Elephas maximus indicus: one gene and its partner. The protein of the gene in region 1 purifies or fractionates together with the protein of each later gene. This does not show direct contact. Links are inferred from orthologs where the notes say so. Each region holds a gene or a part of one and is shown on either strand. Other genes may lie near its edges.

What was found. The genes of interacting proteins can lie anywhere in the genome.
Region 2: the proteins of JOSD2 (region 1) and AHCYL2 purify together in Homo sapiens (affinity purification with mass spectrometry; 3 studies listed by BioGRID and IntAct, counting the BioPlex papers as one, with this or other methods). This does not show direct contact. The link is inferred for Elephas maximus indicus from reciprocal best matches to the Homo sapiens genes JOSD2 and AHCYL2.

What each region holds. Positions count from the first base shown.
Region 1 is NC_064829.1:97,910,096-97,918,023, forward strand, and holds the start of JOSD2 (josephin-2), read left to right. Parts: upstream 1-4,666; 5' UTR 4,667-4,852; intron 4,853-5,468; 5' UTR 5,469-5,482; coding exon 5,483-5,628; intron 5,629-7,805; coding exon 7,806-7,928. Other genes in the region: ASPDH (aspartate dehydrogenase domain-containing protein), read left to right, coding at 1,855-1,909, 2,295-2,439, 2,645-2,729, 2,832-2,981, 3,057-3,277, 3,368-3,522, 4,130-4,173. UniProt on the Homo sapiens protein: Cleaves 'Lys-63'-linked poly-ubiquitin chains, and with lesser efficiency 'Lys-48'-linked poly-ubiquitin chains (in vitro). May act as a deubiquitinating enzyme.
Region 2 is NC_064826.1:20,868,751-20,877,015, reverse strand, and holds the start of AHCYL2 (adenosylhomocysteinase 3), read left to right. Parts: upstream 1-5,135; 5' UTR 5,136-5,194; coding exon 5,195-5,557; intron 5,558-8,265. UniProt on the Homo sapiens protein: May regulate the electrogenic sodium/bicarbonate cotransporter SLC4A4 activity and Mg(2+)-sensitivity. On the contrary of its homolog AHCYL1, does not regulate ITPR1 sensitivity to inositol 1,4,5-trisphosphate.

The DNA.
Region 1 (7,928 bases):
GAAGGACTCTGTCCAGGCCTGGGGAGCAGAGGGGACAGGGAGAGGGGACACCGCTGCCTAGAAGGGACAGAGCCCTCTGCCAGGGGCAGCTGCTGGGCAGAGGGAGTGCGTGATGTCTAGGGGAGACCCAGGCACCCACGTCTCAGCCGAGAGAGACAGAGACAGAGGAGAGAGACAGCTGCCTGTCTAGATAGGTGAGGACAGAGGGGTGAGCAGAGCCTGAGGGGGCCTGACAGCTGCATACCACAAGAGGGAGGCACCCCTTCCAGGCCCCCCTGCTCCCCTCACGTGGGCAGACACCGTGGAACACCAGCCCAGGTCAAGTGACGACCATGGGGGGGCGGGGCGATGGGCAGAAAGGGCTTAATTGGGGAGGCCTGAGGAGGCCTGCCGGCACCTCTCCCCTGACTGTTCCTGCCCCTGTAGCATCTTGTCTCACCCCACTGGGGCTCTTAAGGCACATTCTCCTCTTATCAGGCCCCCCCCCACCCCCGCCAGCCTCCCCAGGCGGCGAGGTGTCTGGGGTCTCAGGCCCTATCAGTTTGCAACTATCTGCTTCCGCCACTACCACCTGTCAACTTAGGACTCTGGGCGTCCCCAGGCCCCCAGCCTCCCTTTCATGCTCCCTTTTCCTCTTGGTCCCTTTCAGCGCGGATCCTGGTTGCCATGGAAACACTGCAGCGGGTACCAGGTGGTAGTTGGGGGCAGGGCTCGGGGCTGCCTCAGCCTCCGCCATTTCTGTGCCAGGCACCCCAGAGGCGCAGTAGCCGGGCAGGGCGCGTTCTGGGGGCCACTCAGGAACTCTCCAGGCCTCGGGCCATCTCTTTGGCCCCTGGAGTTGGGCGGGGAGGGAAGGGCATGGTAGTGAGGATGTAAGGGGGGGTGTGGCTGATCGCATCTTGGCGCGGGAGAGCGAAAGGTGAAAAGTCAAGGTGAACTGAAGGACAATGAGAGGAAGGAGGGAGGTGCTGGGTAAGGCCTGGGAGCTGGGGGATGCGAGGAGGGGCCGGGCCACGACTAGGGCCCACTGGAGCAAGGGCATGGCTAGGGCAGGTTGGGGAAACGCAGGAGCTGGCGGGGCTGAGGCCACCCGAGGACCAGCTAGGCGGACCAGCCAGGCGGGTTGGGGAGAAGAGGCAGACTGGGTCCAGGCTGGGGACAGAACTGCAACAGACCAGGCCAGGAGGAGACGTAGCAGGGGCAGGGAGGGCTGGAGACAGAGAGACAAAGAAGAGAGAGCCCCGCGGTGGAGACTCAGAGAGAACCGCAGGGAGGGACAAGGGGTCCGCACAGGGAGTCGCAGGGAGCCAGAATCCACTCGGCAGTAACGGGTTCAGAGCTTTTTGTTCTTTTCTTTTTTTATGGACAAGAAGCACACTGGTGCCAAGGCGGAGGGAGAGACCCAGAAAGAGGACCAAGCTGAGAGTCCAGAGTCCCCTATTCCCAGCTCCTCCCGCTCCCTCCCAGCACTCTCAACCCCCACCCCAAGCAGGATGCAGTTTCCATGGCAACCTGGCCGGCCCGAAGGGGGCGGGGGACTGCAGAGGAAATTTTCCACAACAGCAAGAAGGGAGGAGGGTGCAAGGCAGGAAGGTGGCCCGGATAGAGTGGGGGCCATGCGGGGCCCCTGAGTCTCAAACCAGCACACTCAGGGCACCTCAGAGGGAAGGGAAGTACCCTCACCCACCCTCATTCCAGCAAACCCACTCCCCCAGCTCAGTGGAAGTTTCCAGAGAGGCCCAAGGGCCAAATGTCCAAAGGTCACCACTGCCCAGGCCTCCTGTGTGTGGTGGCTGGGGGCGGGGGGACAGGGAGAAGCAGCTGGAGCTCGGACATTTGCTGTCAGGTCCAGGCATGGCCCTCGACAGAGCCCCCTGGAGGGTGGGGGTGGTGGGCTACGGACGCCTCGGTGAGTCCTGAGCATCTTGGGCCTCCTTCTCCAGACCTCTTACTTAAGGCCAAGTCCCTGTCCCCCCTCCTCCTGTGTCTTTATCTGTGCCCGCTGGGTCTCCATCCCCTTCTCTCTGGGTCTCCATGCCCCCCTTTCTCTAGGTCTCCGTCCCCTTCTCTCTGGGTCTCTGTCCCCCCATCTCTGGATCTCCATCCCCCTCTTTCTCTGGGTCTCTGTCTCCCTCTCTCTGGGTCTCTGCCCCCCCCACCCTGCCCCCCATCTCTCTGTGGATCTCTGCCCCCCCCCGTCTCTGTCCCTCTCTCTCTAGGTCTCTATCCCCCCTCTCTCTGGGCCTCTGTCCCCCTCTCACAGGTTCTAGCCCTCTCCCCCACCTCTCCCCCAGGACAGTCTCTCGTCTCACACCTGCTGGCTCAGGGGCCAGAACTGGGCCTAGAACTTGTGTTTGTCTGGAATCGGGACCAAGGACGAATGGCAGGGACTGTGCCCCCCTCTCTGCAGCTCCAGGATCTTGCTGCCCTCAGGGAGAGGTCAGTGACCTCGTCAGGTCCAGAAGGGCTCCTGAAAGATTTTGCTTTGCTCTCAGCTGCTGTATCTCAGACAAAACCCTTAGCCTCTCTGGGTCTCAGTTCACCCACACGTAAAAGGAGACAGGCGCATACGGCCTGTGAAGGAATTGGGAGGCAGGGGGCCAAGCCCTCTCCCATACCCTCTCCCATCTCTCCCCTCTTCCAGGCACCCTGATGTGGTGGTGGAAGTGGCCCACCCCAAAATAATCCATGATTCTGGGGCACACATCCTGCGCCACGCGAATCTGCTGGTAAGCCCCTCCTTGTGACCCCAGGACCTTGTCCCTTCAGCCTCAACCCCACCTCATCCACACGCCCTGACCTCAGCCCCTCCCCCATTCATGCATCCCCAGGTGGGGTCCCCCTCAGCCCTGGCTGACCAGGCCACAGAGCAGCGGCTCCAGGAGGCCTCCCATCGCTGGGGCCATGCCGTGTTTGTCGCCCGGGGGGCCCTGTGGGGCTCTGAGGACATCACCAGATTGGACAAGGCAGGGGGCCTTCAGGTGAGGGCCTATAGGGCTCCCTGGGAACTGGGAGGGGGCCTGCAGAGGCCCCCTGACCCCAGGTCTTGCTTCCAGAGCCTCCGCGTCACCATGGCCACACACCCCGATGGCTTCCGGCTAGAGGGGCCCCTGGCCGCAGCCCCCAGGACTGGGCCCCGAACGGTGCTCTACCAGGGACCTGTCCGAGGCCTGTGCCCCTGGGCCCCCCGCAACTCAAACACCATGGCAGCTGCTGCCCTGGCTGCCCCCAGCCTGGGCTTCGACCGCGTCATCGGGGTGCTGGTGGCTGACCTCAGGTGAGCCCAGAGCCCAGCCGAGCCGAGCCGAGGAGGGGATGGCGCGAGCCGAGGCCTAGCCAGCCCAACTAACCACCCTGCCCGCCCCAGCCTCCCGGATATGCACGTGGTGGATGTGGAACTAAGCGGACCCCCGGGCCCAGCAGGCCGCAGCTTTGTCGTGCACACCCGCAGAGAGAACCCTGCTGAGCCAGGCGCTGTCACCGGCTCTGCCACGGTCACCGCCTTCTGGCGCAGCCTCCTGGGTGCGGCTGTGCCCCTCCCCAGTGTCAGGGGCCCCTCCTGCCCTGAGGCCTGGGCACCTGTGTTCCACAGAGTGTGGGTTTCAGGCTCTGCCTGGTTCTGATTCTGTCCCTTCTGGTTGGTCTGTATTTGAGGCTCCTTAACTGTCTCCCCTACAAGTCTTTGAAACTTCATATCTCTCTCTCTGTCCATGTCTCTCTTCTGGATCTCTGTTCCCCTCCATCTAGGTCTTTGTTCCCCTCTGAGTATCTAACCACCTTTCTTTGGGTCTCTGTCTCCCTCGGCCCCCCCCCCACCGCGGCATCTCTGTACCCACTCTCCCTGGGTCCCTGTCCCCCTCTCTCTGGGTCTCCATCCCCTTCCTCTAGGTCTCCATCCCCTCCCTCTAGGTCTCTCTTCCTCTCTAAATATCCGTCCTTTTTTGGGGTCTCTATATCCCTCTCTCTCTGGATCCCTGTCCCCCTCTCTCTGGGTCCCTGTCCTCCTCTCTCTGGGTCTCTGTCCCCCTCTCTCTGGGACTTCTCCCCCCAACCCTGCTGGGATGCTCCTTATATCTATCTCTGTCTCTCTCTCTGTCCCAGTCTTTAATTCTCCGCCTCTCCCCTGCAGGCTGCTGCCAGCTCCCCTCCAAGCCAGGGATCCATCTCTGCTGAGAAGCTTCTTCACTCCCGAGAGAACATCCGCATATCATTTACCCCCCCCACCGCCGTCCCACGCCTCGCCTGGCCTCAGTTTCCCCAGATCTCCCTCCTGTCTCAGTAAAGATCGGTGGCTCCTCCCCCTGCAGAGTCCGGGTGTCTCTCTGGGCTCTAGTTTCCCTCCTGTGACGTCACGCTGCCTCTGCACACCGTACGTGACGCCAAGCGAGAGACTGGCACAAGGGGGGGCGGGGCTGGGGGGGGGCCAATAAGCCAAGCAGCTATCGCGAGAGCTTACGCACTACATTTCCCAGAATCCTCTGGGAAGCCGGGGGCGCAGTAGTACCCACACTGCGCGAGGGGGTGGGCCTCTAAGAGGTGTATTTCCGGGTTCGCCGCAGAGGCCGACGGAAGTTGTAGTCCCACCTTATTTAGCTGTGACTGTCCACGCGGCCCGGTCGTTCCGTACGCAGCCTGCGCTTCCGCGGGAGCCACCGGGAGTCGTAGTCCGGCACGCGGGGGCCGCCGGGAGCTGTAGTCCGTCCGGCCGGCCCAGTCAGCGCCGCGCTGCCCGCCCAGCATTCGGAACACAGAGCCACCGCCCAGGGGGATGCGGGAGCCCCTGGCTCGGGGGAAAGGAGAGGCAGGCGGGGTGAGCGGCGTTGCCAGGCAACGGGCGAGCGCCGCGGTTGGGGTACGGGTCAGGGAAAGGGGTTCTACTGCTTGATGTACGGGGAAGGGGCTTGGTTACCAGGTGATACTAGGAGGGGACCCTGTTGCTTAGTGACTAGCTAGTGGGCCCTGTTGCCAGGTGACAGGAGAAAACCTTGTTGTTTAGTGACAGGGGAGGGGGAGTCTTCTGTCGCTAGGCGACCAGAAGAGACCCTGTTACCTAGAGACAGCGAAGGAGGAGTCCTCTATTGCTAGATAACCAGAATAGAGACTTGGTTACCTAGTGAGGTGGGGGTGGAGGTCCTCTGTTGCTAAGCAACCAGGGAGGGGTTCTGTTACTTAGGGACGGGGGGCGTTTCTCTGTTGCTAGGTGACCAATATAGGGACCCTTTTACTTATGGATGTGGTGGGGGGGTCCCCTGTTGCTAGGTGGACAGGAGAACCTTGTTTTTAGGGGCAGGGAATGGAGATACCTCTGTGCCTACGGAGCAGGTCGGGGCCCAGTGTCCTCCCAGGCTCCCCCAAGTCCCCACCTCAATGGCGGTGCCCCCAAGGGCCTGCTGGGAGGTTGGGCCTCAGCCTCTGGGCCTCCAGATCCTAATCCCTGAGTCCCACTCCTCCCCGCCCCCCCACCGCAGGAGCCAAGGACGTTATGTCCCAGGCCCCAGGAGCCCGGCAGAGCCAGCCCTCCGTGTACCACGAGCGGCAGCGCCTGGAGCTGTGTGCCGTCCACGCCCTCAACAACGTCCTGCAGCAGCAGCTCTTCAGCCAGGAGGCTGCCGATGAGATCTGCAAGAGGTGACTGTCACCCACCCGAACTGCTGGCACCTGGAGACACAGGGCTCAGAGAGGCAATGCCACTCGCCTGGGTCTCACAGGGAGGCAGGGCAGAGCCAGGGGGGCTTTCTGTCCTGCTCACCCCACCTGGGCTGGTGGAGATGTTCCTCCTGTTCCTCTCTGCCCCCATGGCCTCAGTCCCAGGTCAGGCCTCACCCTCTCTCATCTGGACCCTTGTCCCAGCCTCCTTGCTGGGCTTCCAGTTTCCAGTCTTTCCCTTCTAGTTTGTCCTGCGTTTGACCCCAGAGCTGACCCTGCTCACATCCCTCCCATGGCTCGCCAGTAACCCTGGAACAAAGCCCAGCCCCACAGCCTGAGATCCAAGGCCTGTGTGCTCTAGTCCCTACCCAGCTCTAAAGCTTTGTCTCTCACTGCACCCCTCAACTCAAACTGCTTGTCTTAGTTACCTAGCGCTGTTGTAACAGAAACATCACAAGTGGGTGGCTTTAACAAACAGAAATTTATTTTCTCACAGTTTAGGAGGGCTGGAAATCCAAATTCAGGGCTCTGGCTTTAAGGGAAGGCTCTCTCTCTCTGCCCTGGGAGAAAGTCCTTATCTCTTTTTAGCTTCTGTTCCTTGGTTCCCTGGTGATCATGTGGCATGTATCTTCCCCTCTGTTTGTGCTTGCTTGCTTAATCTGCTCTCTTATATCTCAAAAAAGGTTAATTTATGATACACCCTACTGCCTCATTGACATAAGAAAGTAAACCTATTCCTGAATGGGACTGTAACCACAAGTATACAAAACCATTGCCTTCAGGTTGATTCCAACTGCCCCATAGGGTTTCCTAGGCTGTAATCTTTACAGAAGCAGATTGCCACATCTTTCTGCCATGGAGCAACTGGTGGGTTCCAACTGCCAAGCTTTTGGTTAGCAGCTGAGTACTTAAGCACTGCATCACCAGGACTCCTTTACCACAGGTATACCCATTGCCATTAAGTCAATGGAACTGCCCTATAGGGTTTACTAGGCTGTAATCTTTATGGAAGCAGACTGTCACATCTTTCTCCTATGAAGCTGCTAGTGAGTTAGCAGCCAGGCACTTACCCACTGAGCCACCACGGGGCCTTTGCACAAGCTATTCTTTCCTGCTGGCATAGCTTCCTCCTTTCTGCAGCCTGGCATGGTTCTCCTCACTGTTCAAGATTTCACACATCATTGCTTTATTACTGCTTTACCTTCTGCTCTTCCCCTCCTCTCTGTCCCTGCAGCACCAGCCCCAACTCGGGCCCTGATCTCTCCAGCCTGTAATCACACCCTAGCCTCCCAGCCTGTCCCCCATAAGGTGCCAGAATAGTCTTTCTCCCAGACCTCCCAGTGTCTTCAGGTTGAGTCCCAGCCCTCAGACTGGTTCTTATACAATGTATTCAGCTCCTCCATCATCCAAATCAGGGATTAATCAGCTCTTTCATGCTAAGACTATGCTGGAGGCCCAGAAGTGAATCAGACAGAGTCTGACCCTGCGGGAGCCCTCGATCTGGGAAGGGAAACAGAGACACAGGAAAATAATCCTTAGACTTTCCCCTACTCTGTCCCTCCCCTGCCCTATCCACTGAGGGTGCAGATAGAGAACAGAGGGACTGTTGTTCAGAGGATGCGGGGCCCAGAAACAAGTGGTGACAGGCTGGGCCTCCCGGGCTGGGAGAACAGCTGGAGGGAAGGCTGAGAGGCTGGAACATTGGTGATGGGGTTGGGGAACAGGTGGCTGGGAAGGGGTGGGGCGAGGCTGAGGCTAAGCGGTGTGCAGGGCCTCGAATGCCAAGTTGAGGGGCTGAGAGTTCATCCTGAAGGTACTAGGGAGCCAGGGAGGGCTGTGAGCAGGGGAGAGGGAGGGCCAGCTCTGAGTGTAGAAAGAGCCCTGCAGGGCCATGTAGGAGATGGACTGGAGGGAGAGACTGGAGGCCAGGGAAGAGGTTGGGGTGAGGGTTCAGATGGGAGAAGACAAAGCCCGAGCTGAGGCCTTGGGAACATGGCAGAGAGAGTCACCAGGCAGGAGGGACAGGGCCTAGGGGCTGACGAGTTGTGGGGGTTGAAGAGAGGAAACAGTCCAAAGGTTGGGTTGACTCTCCTGCTTTGTAGGGAGGGTGAGCCCTTTCCAGGGACTCCCCAACTCAGGCACTGACCACCCCCAAACAGGTTGGCACCAGACTCCCGGCTGAACCCCCATCGCAGCCTCCTGGGCACCGGCAACTATGATGTCAATGTGATTATGGCTGCCCTACAGGGGCTGGGCCTGGCCGCTGTGTGGTGGGACAGAAG
Region 2 (8,265 bases), on another chromosome or scaffold:
GAACTGAATAGTGGCAGACAGTTTTGTTATTTTATTCTCTCTACTTTTTGCTGATTTAAATTTTTTTAATAGTCACAGGTATTTGTTGTTAGGTGATATTGAATTGGTTCTGACTCCCAGTGACCCTATGCACAACAGAATGAAACAGTGTCCGGTCCTGCACCATCCTCACAATCACTGCTATGTTTGAGCCCGTTGTTATAGCTGTTGTGTCAATCCATCTCACTGAAGGTCTTCCTCTCTTTCACTGACCCTCTACTTTACCAAGTGTCTTAGTTATCTAGTGCTGCTATAACAGAAATACCATAAGTGAATGGCTTTAACAAAGAGAAATTTATTCTCTCACAGCCTAGGAGGCTAACAGTCTGAATTCAGGGCACTAGCACAGGGAAAGGCTGTCTCTGTCAGCTTTGGAGGAAGGTCCTTGTCATCAATCTTTCTTTGGTAGAGGTGTGTTATGGATTGAATTGTGTCCCCCCAAAATATGTGCCAACTTGGTTAGGCCATGATTCCCAGTATTGTGTGGTTGTCCTCCATTTTGTGATTGTAATTTTATGTTAAAAAGGATTAGGGTGGGATTGTAACACCCTTACTAAGGTCACATCCCTGATCCAATGTAAAGGGAGTTTCCCTGGGGTGTGGCCTGCACCACCTTTTATCTTACAAGAGATAAAAGGAAAGAGAGGCAGCAGAGAGTTGGGGACCTCATACCACTAAGAAAGCAGTGCCAGGAGCAAACTGTGTCCTTTGGGCCTGAGGTTCCTGCACTGAGATGCTCCTAGACCAAGGGAAAACTGATGACAAGGACCTTCCTCCAGAGTCAACAGATAAACAAAGCCTTCCCCTGGAGTTGACACCCTGAATTTGGATTTCTAGCCTACTAGCCTACTTTAACAAAGAGAAAATACATGTCTGTTTGTTAAAGTCATCCACTTGTGGTATTTCTGTTGCAGCAACACTAGATGACTAAGTCAAGGAGCTTCTCAGCACAGGGACCCCAGGTCCAAAGGATGCGTTATGCTCCAGGTGTTTCTTTCTTGGCGGTATGAGGTCCCCATGTCTCTCTGCTCACTTCCTTCTTTTATATCTCAAAAGAGATTGACTTAAGACAAAACCTACTCTTGTAGATTGAGTCCTGACTCATTAACATAACTGCCTCTAATCCTGCCTCATTAACATCATAGAGGTAGGATTTACAACACATAGGAAAATCATAGCAGATGACAAGATGTTGGACAATCACACAATACCAGGAATTATGGCCTAGCCAAGTTGACACATATTTTTGAGGGACACAATTTATCCATAACACCAAGCATGATGTCCTTCTCCAGAGACTGGTCCCTCCTGATAACATGTCCGAAGTACATAAGACAAAGTCTCACCAACCTCACTTCTGAAGAGCATTCTGGCTGTACTTCTTCCAAGACAGATTTGTTCCTTTCTTTGGCAGTCTGTGGTATACTCAACATTCTTTGCCAAGACCATAAAGACATCAATTCTTCTCCAGTCTTCCTTATTCATTGTCCAGGTTTTGCATGCATATGAGGCAACTGAAAATACCATGGCTTGGGTCAGGTGCACATTAGTCCTTAAAGTGTCATCTTTGCTTTTTAATACTTTAAAAAGGTCTTTTGCGGTAGGTTTGCCCAACGCAATGTATCGTTTGATTTCTTGACTGCTGCTTCCATGGGTGTTGATTGTGGATCCAAGTAAAATGAAATTCTTGACAACTTCAGTATCTTCTTCATTTATCATGATGTTGCTTAGTGGTTTAGTTATAAGGATTTTTGTATTTTTTTTTTTTTTATGTTAAGGTGTAAACCATACTGAAGGCTGTAGTCTTTGATCTTCATTAGTAAGTGCTTCAAGTCCTCTTCACTTTCAGCAAGCAAGGTTGTGTGATCTGCATATCGCAGATGGTTACTAAGTCTTCCTCCAATCCTGATGCCTTGTTCTTCTTTATACAGTCCAGCTTCTTGGATTATTTGCTCAGCATACAGACTGAAAAAGTACAGTGAAAGGATACAACCCTAATACACACCTTTCCTGATTTTAAATCATGTAGTATTCCCTTGTTCTGTTCAAATGACTGCCTCTATGTACAGGTTCCTCATGAGTACAATTAAGTATTCTGAAATTCTCATTTCTTGCAATGTTATACATAATTTGTTAAGATTCACACAGTCGAATGCCTTTGCATAGTCAATAAAACACAGGTAAACATCTTTCTGGTATTCTCTGCTCTCAGCCAGAATCCATCTGACATTAGCAATGATATCCCTGGTTCCATGTCCTCTTCTGAATTTGGCTTGAAGTTCTGGCAATTCCCCGTCAGATGTACTGCTGCAACCATTTTTGAATGATCTTCAGCAAAATTTTACTTGCATGTGATATTAATGATATTTTTTGATAATTTCTGCATTCCATTCTTTGGAATGGGCACAAATATGGATCTCTTTCAATTGTTTAGCCAGGTAGCTGTCTTCCAAATTTCTTGGCCTAGATGAGTGAGTGCTTCCAGCACTGCATCCCTTTGTTGAAACATCTCAACTGGTACACTGTCAATTCCTGGGGCCTTGTTTTTCACCAATGGCTTCAGTGCAGCTTGGACTTCTTCCTTCAGTACCATCAGTTCTTGACCATATGCTACCTCCTAAAATGACTGAATGTGGACCAATTCTTTTTGGTACAGTGACTCTGTGTATTCCTTCCATCTTTCTTTGATGCTTCCTGCATTGTTTGATATTTTGCCACAGGTACCTACCTGAGGCCATATGGCTAATTAGTGGGGTAATTTAGACTAAACCAGGGCAGGATCTTGACTGATTACCAATCCAGTCTTCCTTCTCTATGGCCTCAGCCAATGATCTGTTTATGAATTGAAGGATATTTGTCATTTTGGTCCTAATTGGGGCAATTTTTTTTTATTGTAGTAAAAACAAAATATATATATATCACAAAAAATGTGCTGTTTCAATCAGTGTTAAGTGTACAATTCCATAACATTAATCACATTCACCATGCTATGCAACCATCACCACTATTCATTCCAAAAAACAAAAAACTGTAATCACCCCAAACAGAAACCCAGTACACCTTAAGCAATACCTCACCATTTCTCCCTACCTCCAACCCCTGATAACTTACCTACTTTCTGTCTCTATGCATTTGCCTATTCTAGGTATTTTATATAAGTGAGATCATATTTGTCCTTTTGTGTGTAATGTTTTCAAGGTTCATCCACGTCACAGCATGCATCAGAACTTCATTTGTCTTTAATGACATTCCACTGTATGCATGTACCACATTTTGTTCATCCATTCATCTACTGAAAGACATTTGAGCTTTTCCTCAGATACTTTTTTCCTATTGAAAGTAAAACTGCCATGTATGTTTTGTATTTACATCTTTTAAAATAAAAGGAAAAAATTCTAAATAAAACAGAAAAGTACAAAGAAGGAAGAAATATCAACCCACGTCTCATAACTTAGGGAAATTATTATTCATATTTTAGTTAATATTCCTCTATGTTGCTATCTGGAGTCCCAGTGGCACACTGGTTAAGAGCTCAGGCTGCTAATCAAACGTCGGCAATTCAAGTTCACCAGTTGTTCCTTGGAAACCCTATGGGGCAGTGTGACTCTGTCCTATAGGGTCACTATGACTTGGAATCAGTGCGACAGCACGAATCTGGTTTTGGTTTATGCTACTATCTGAAGTCCCTAGATAGTACGAACAGTTAATACGCTTGGATGCTAACTGAAAGGTTGGAGGGTCAACTTCACCCAGAGGTTCCTTGGAAGAAAGGTCTGGCAGTCTACTTTCAAAAAATCATCCATTGAAAACTCTATGGAGCACAGTTCTACTCTGACACAATGGGGTCACCATAAGTTGGAATCCACTTCATGACACCTGGTTTGTTTTTTGGGGGGTGGGGTATATGCTAATGCTTTTAACTGAATTCATATTACACCTCCTCCTCACTTATCAACTACCTTGTTATCTGACATTTCGCATTTACTACAATATTAAAGTATCTACTATTCAACTATTTTGCACATTAACAACGTAGGTCTGGGAGCAATGAACACCCAAGTGCAACGAGAGAATAACGCTGGCTTTCATGGTTAAGGTTATGTGTTAACTTGGCTGGGCCAAGATTCTCAGTGGTTTGGCAGTTATGTAATACCTTGGCATAACTTGGTAATGATGTAGTCATCCTCCATTTTTGCATAACACAGATTTCACACAGTCTTTAGAACCTAACCGTGTTTATAAGTGAAGAGATGGTGCATTTTCCATGTTGAGTTAACAGGTAAAAAGATTTGGCCTTGTTTAAGGCAACTCGTAATTCCTGAGCCTTTAAAATTCAACCTAGTGGTACCTAACTCCTTTTGGAACTGATTTTTAACTTCCAAACCCAGACTATGACAGCAACCATCACAGCAGTCAAGGTCTCCTTATATTCTTTCTAAAAACAAAACCATTAGTTCGCAAAGGTGTTAGGGTTCTGATTTCACGGGGATGGGGGAAAAACAAAAACAAAAACAAGCCACTGCAAGCCTCTGGCTGCGGTCTCGTCACGTGACGCTGCCCCTCTGCCTTTAAATGCCCGCGCACGTGATCGCAGACTTGCACACACACAGGAAATTCACGCTGTCAGGATAACGGTTCCTCCACCCCTACCTTCCCATCTATAGGGTTTCTAGTGTTTCCTCCCTGGAAGCGGCAAGTCCTCTGGAGACTTTCTCTTTCCCATCCCCTTCTTCAGGTCATCTGTCTTCAGTCCCTTCCGTTAGTCGCCAGCCCCAGAGAGCCCTCTTCCCTATAGAAGTCTAGCGTACCTTCCTGAGGAAGGGCCCAAAGGGCCTACAACTCCCAGGGGGCATGGCGGGCTCGCCCCCTCGGCGGCGCGCGGTGCAGGTCGGGGGCTGAGGTCCCACGATCTTTTCGGCGCGTGCGGCCGGGAGCGAGCGCACTACAGGTTCCGTGGCGCCTCGCGCAGGGGCCGGGCTGGGGAGGGGCGGGCTGGGGCAGGACGGGCCCGGGCGGGAGGGCGGGCGGACGGAGGAAGGGGGTGGGAGCGGAGGCGATGGAGGGGAGGAGTGGGGGAATGGGGGAGGGAAGGGAGGCAGGAGGCGGGGCCGAGCCGGAGCTGGAGCCCGAGGCGGCCGTTGCGGCGCAGGCGGTGATGTCGGTGCAGGTTGTGTCAGCCGCGGCGGCCGCCAAGGTGCCTGAGGTGGAGCTGAAGGACCTGAGCCCCTCCGAGGCGGAACCGCAGCTAGGACTGAGCACGGCGGCTGTGGGCGCCATGTCTCCCCCGGCGGGCGGCGGGGACCCTGAGGCTCCGGCTCCGGCCGCCGAGCGGCCCCCGGCCCCCGGCCCGGGCTCCGGGCCCGCCGCCGCGCTCAGCCCTGCCGCCGGGAAGGTGCCTCAGGCGTCGGCCATGAAGCGGAGCGACCCCCATCACCAGCATCAGCGGCACCGCGACGGCGGCGAGGCCCTGGTCAGCCCCGACGGCACCGTCACCGAGGCGCCGCGCACCGTCAAGAAGGTATTCGGGCCGGGCTGCCTCTCGTGGCGAGGCCGGGACGGCGGGGGGACGGCAGGTAGTCGGCCGGCGGCGCCCCCCGCGCCTTGCGTCCCGGTCCTGGGAGCAGAGAGACCCCTGGCTGCCGAGCCGGCCCTTCAGGCCGCAGGGCTGGACAGCGCCCCTTCGCGGCAACACGGAGGTAGCGCGCCCTCGGCTCCTGGGAGCTGGCAGGGCAGCAGAGGCACCTAGTGCTGCGCCCCACCCCTGCACCCCAGCACATCTCGTGTGTCATGGTGCGGACTCCGGGGGGGAGACCCTGATGATGTAGGAAAACCGCATCGTTTAGGAGAGCCCCCCCCCAGCAAGGTGGAAAGAGCTTTCCTACTTGGAGAGCTGTAGGTGCCTCGCCTTGGGACCCTCAGTTGTCTGGTGTCTTAGGGGCGATGAGTGGCCGACGCTTCCATGGAGTAGTTCCAGGGCTGTGCCCTTCATCTCGAGAGACAGCAGTATCCTTGCCTCTTCTGTGAATAGAGAGGGTTTTCCTCTCGGCTCGGGATTATTAGGCTGGTTCGTTTTTTTACCATCTGAAAGTGTTAGGAAGAAATACTGCTTTGGGGGAAAAGTGATCACTGTGAGGCTGTCCTGGCTCAGCTGCCAGCTTCTTTCGGAAATAAGTTTGACTCCTTAAGACCACCAAGGAGTAAGTGTGTCGAGTAGTATGATACCCAAATATTATTCTCACTTTAGCTATCCTGGTGTGTCACTTTCTCTTGAAGCTGAATCAGCCCAGGATAACAAAAAGGCAAATAGCTGAAAAAAGAGTTGATGTGGATCATATAAAAAAGAATTATGGGTCTAGTTTCACAGGCACAATGTGAGGACAGTGATTCGTGGTTTTCCCTTTGATTGTTCTGAATGATTTTAATTGCTTTGTCAGAATAGCAATAAAACGATGTGAAGTCTGCATTGGTTTCTCTGAGTAGGACTCAGCTGAATTGGAACCTTGAACCCAGCTAAACTTTTTTGCTGTAATAGCTGCATGGTTAAGTTATAAAGCAGATGACCTTTTCGTTGTAACTACCCAAATCTAGGCAGTAAACAGACGATGTCGAGGCAAGTCTGAGGGAATTTGTTTAATGATGGTGCAGGTCAATGCCCTTGTCGTTTATAGTATGACGCTCCTGGAGGAATTAGAGGTGGTTAGAGAGGCAGCTTGGATACTGGTGGTTCTCCCTATTGTACACAGACATGAGTCTGGAAATCCTGAGTTCTTTTTTTGACTGGTTGAATTGCTTTATAACTTTGTTCAAATCTTTTCCCTGTAATTAAGACTTGACGACGACAAGAAGGTCTTTTTTTGTGTGGAAAATTTTATAATTTGATTAGATTTCTTGAGGGTAAAACATCCTCTTCTTGAATGTGGTGTTTCTGGTCAGGCAGACCTGAGTTTAAACCTTACTTCCACCGCTAACTAGCTTTTGGGTAATTTTCAAATTCTCTAAATCTCGGTTTCGACTTTTATAAAGTGAGGACATGAACACTATAGAACAGGAGCCCTGGTGGCACAGTGGTTAAGCATTCGGCTGCTAACTGAAAGGCTGGCAGTTTGAACACAGCAGCTCCTCTGTGGGAGAAAGATGTGACAGTCTGCCTCCATAAAGATTAAAAGCCTTGGAAGCCCTATGGGGCAGTTCTGCTCTGTCCTATAGGGTTGCTATGAGTTAGAATCAAGTCGAGGGCAGTGGGTTTGGGTTTAATATTAGAGAGAATTAGAAATGTTTGTAAAGGGCTTAGCATTGAACTGAGCACATGTAGTAGGGGTAAAAGAAATGATAGCTATTATTATGATGAAGAATTGATTTTATTTCTCTCATTATAGTGTAAATGCATATCACCATGACTGCTTCTGAAAGGTACGGATAGTTTTAATAGATTCTACATAAAAAGTTAAAAAATCACAGGGTAGCATACCAGAGTCTGTTTTTCTTAATTCTAAATATGCTTCTAGACCATTTTTCCTGTCACTGAACCACCTTCCTTTATAAAAATGTGGTTCCATGATTCTAGACTTACTCAGCAGCCTCAAGGCTGTGGAAGACAGGGCTGAGCTTGCCTTAGTATGTTAATTGCACCAAAAAGCAACTTTTCTGCTGGAAGTTAAGCAGATGAAACTCTGGACAGGGATACAGCTGCATGACACAATTAAGGACATTGATAGAGCTGCTTCTTTTGGGACAGAATCTTTGACTTTCTTGGTACAGGCAGCCCGTGGATTACGAATGTCAGGTTTACATACAACCCATAGTTGTGAACCAAGCCCTGTAAAATCTGAAATAATACAATGGTTCATAATAACAAATGGGCACTACTTTGCAACATGTGTCAAAATATTATTATCATTACTGTATTATGTTAAAGATTATGGAAACCCTGGTGGCGTAGTGGTTAAGTGCTACGACTGCTAACCAAAGGGTCAGCAGTTCGAATCCACCAGGCGCTTCTCGGAAACTCTATGGGGCAGTATGCTAAAGATGTTTAAGTGTATCTGGAAGTGTTTCTTTAATGTTTTTATACGTAGAAAGTTACACTATATGCTGGGATAAACATTTGACTATTAGATTCTGAACCATACCTAACTGTTCCGATTTACATACAAATTTGACTTAAAGACAGACTTAGAAACAGGACTCATTTGTAATCCATACTCCCTGTATTGGATTGGTGAGTGA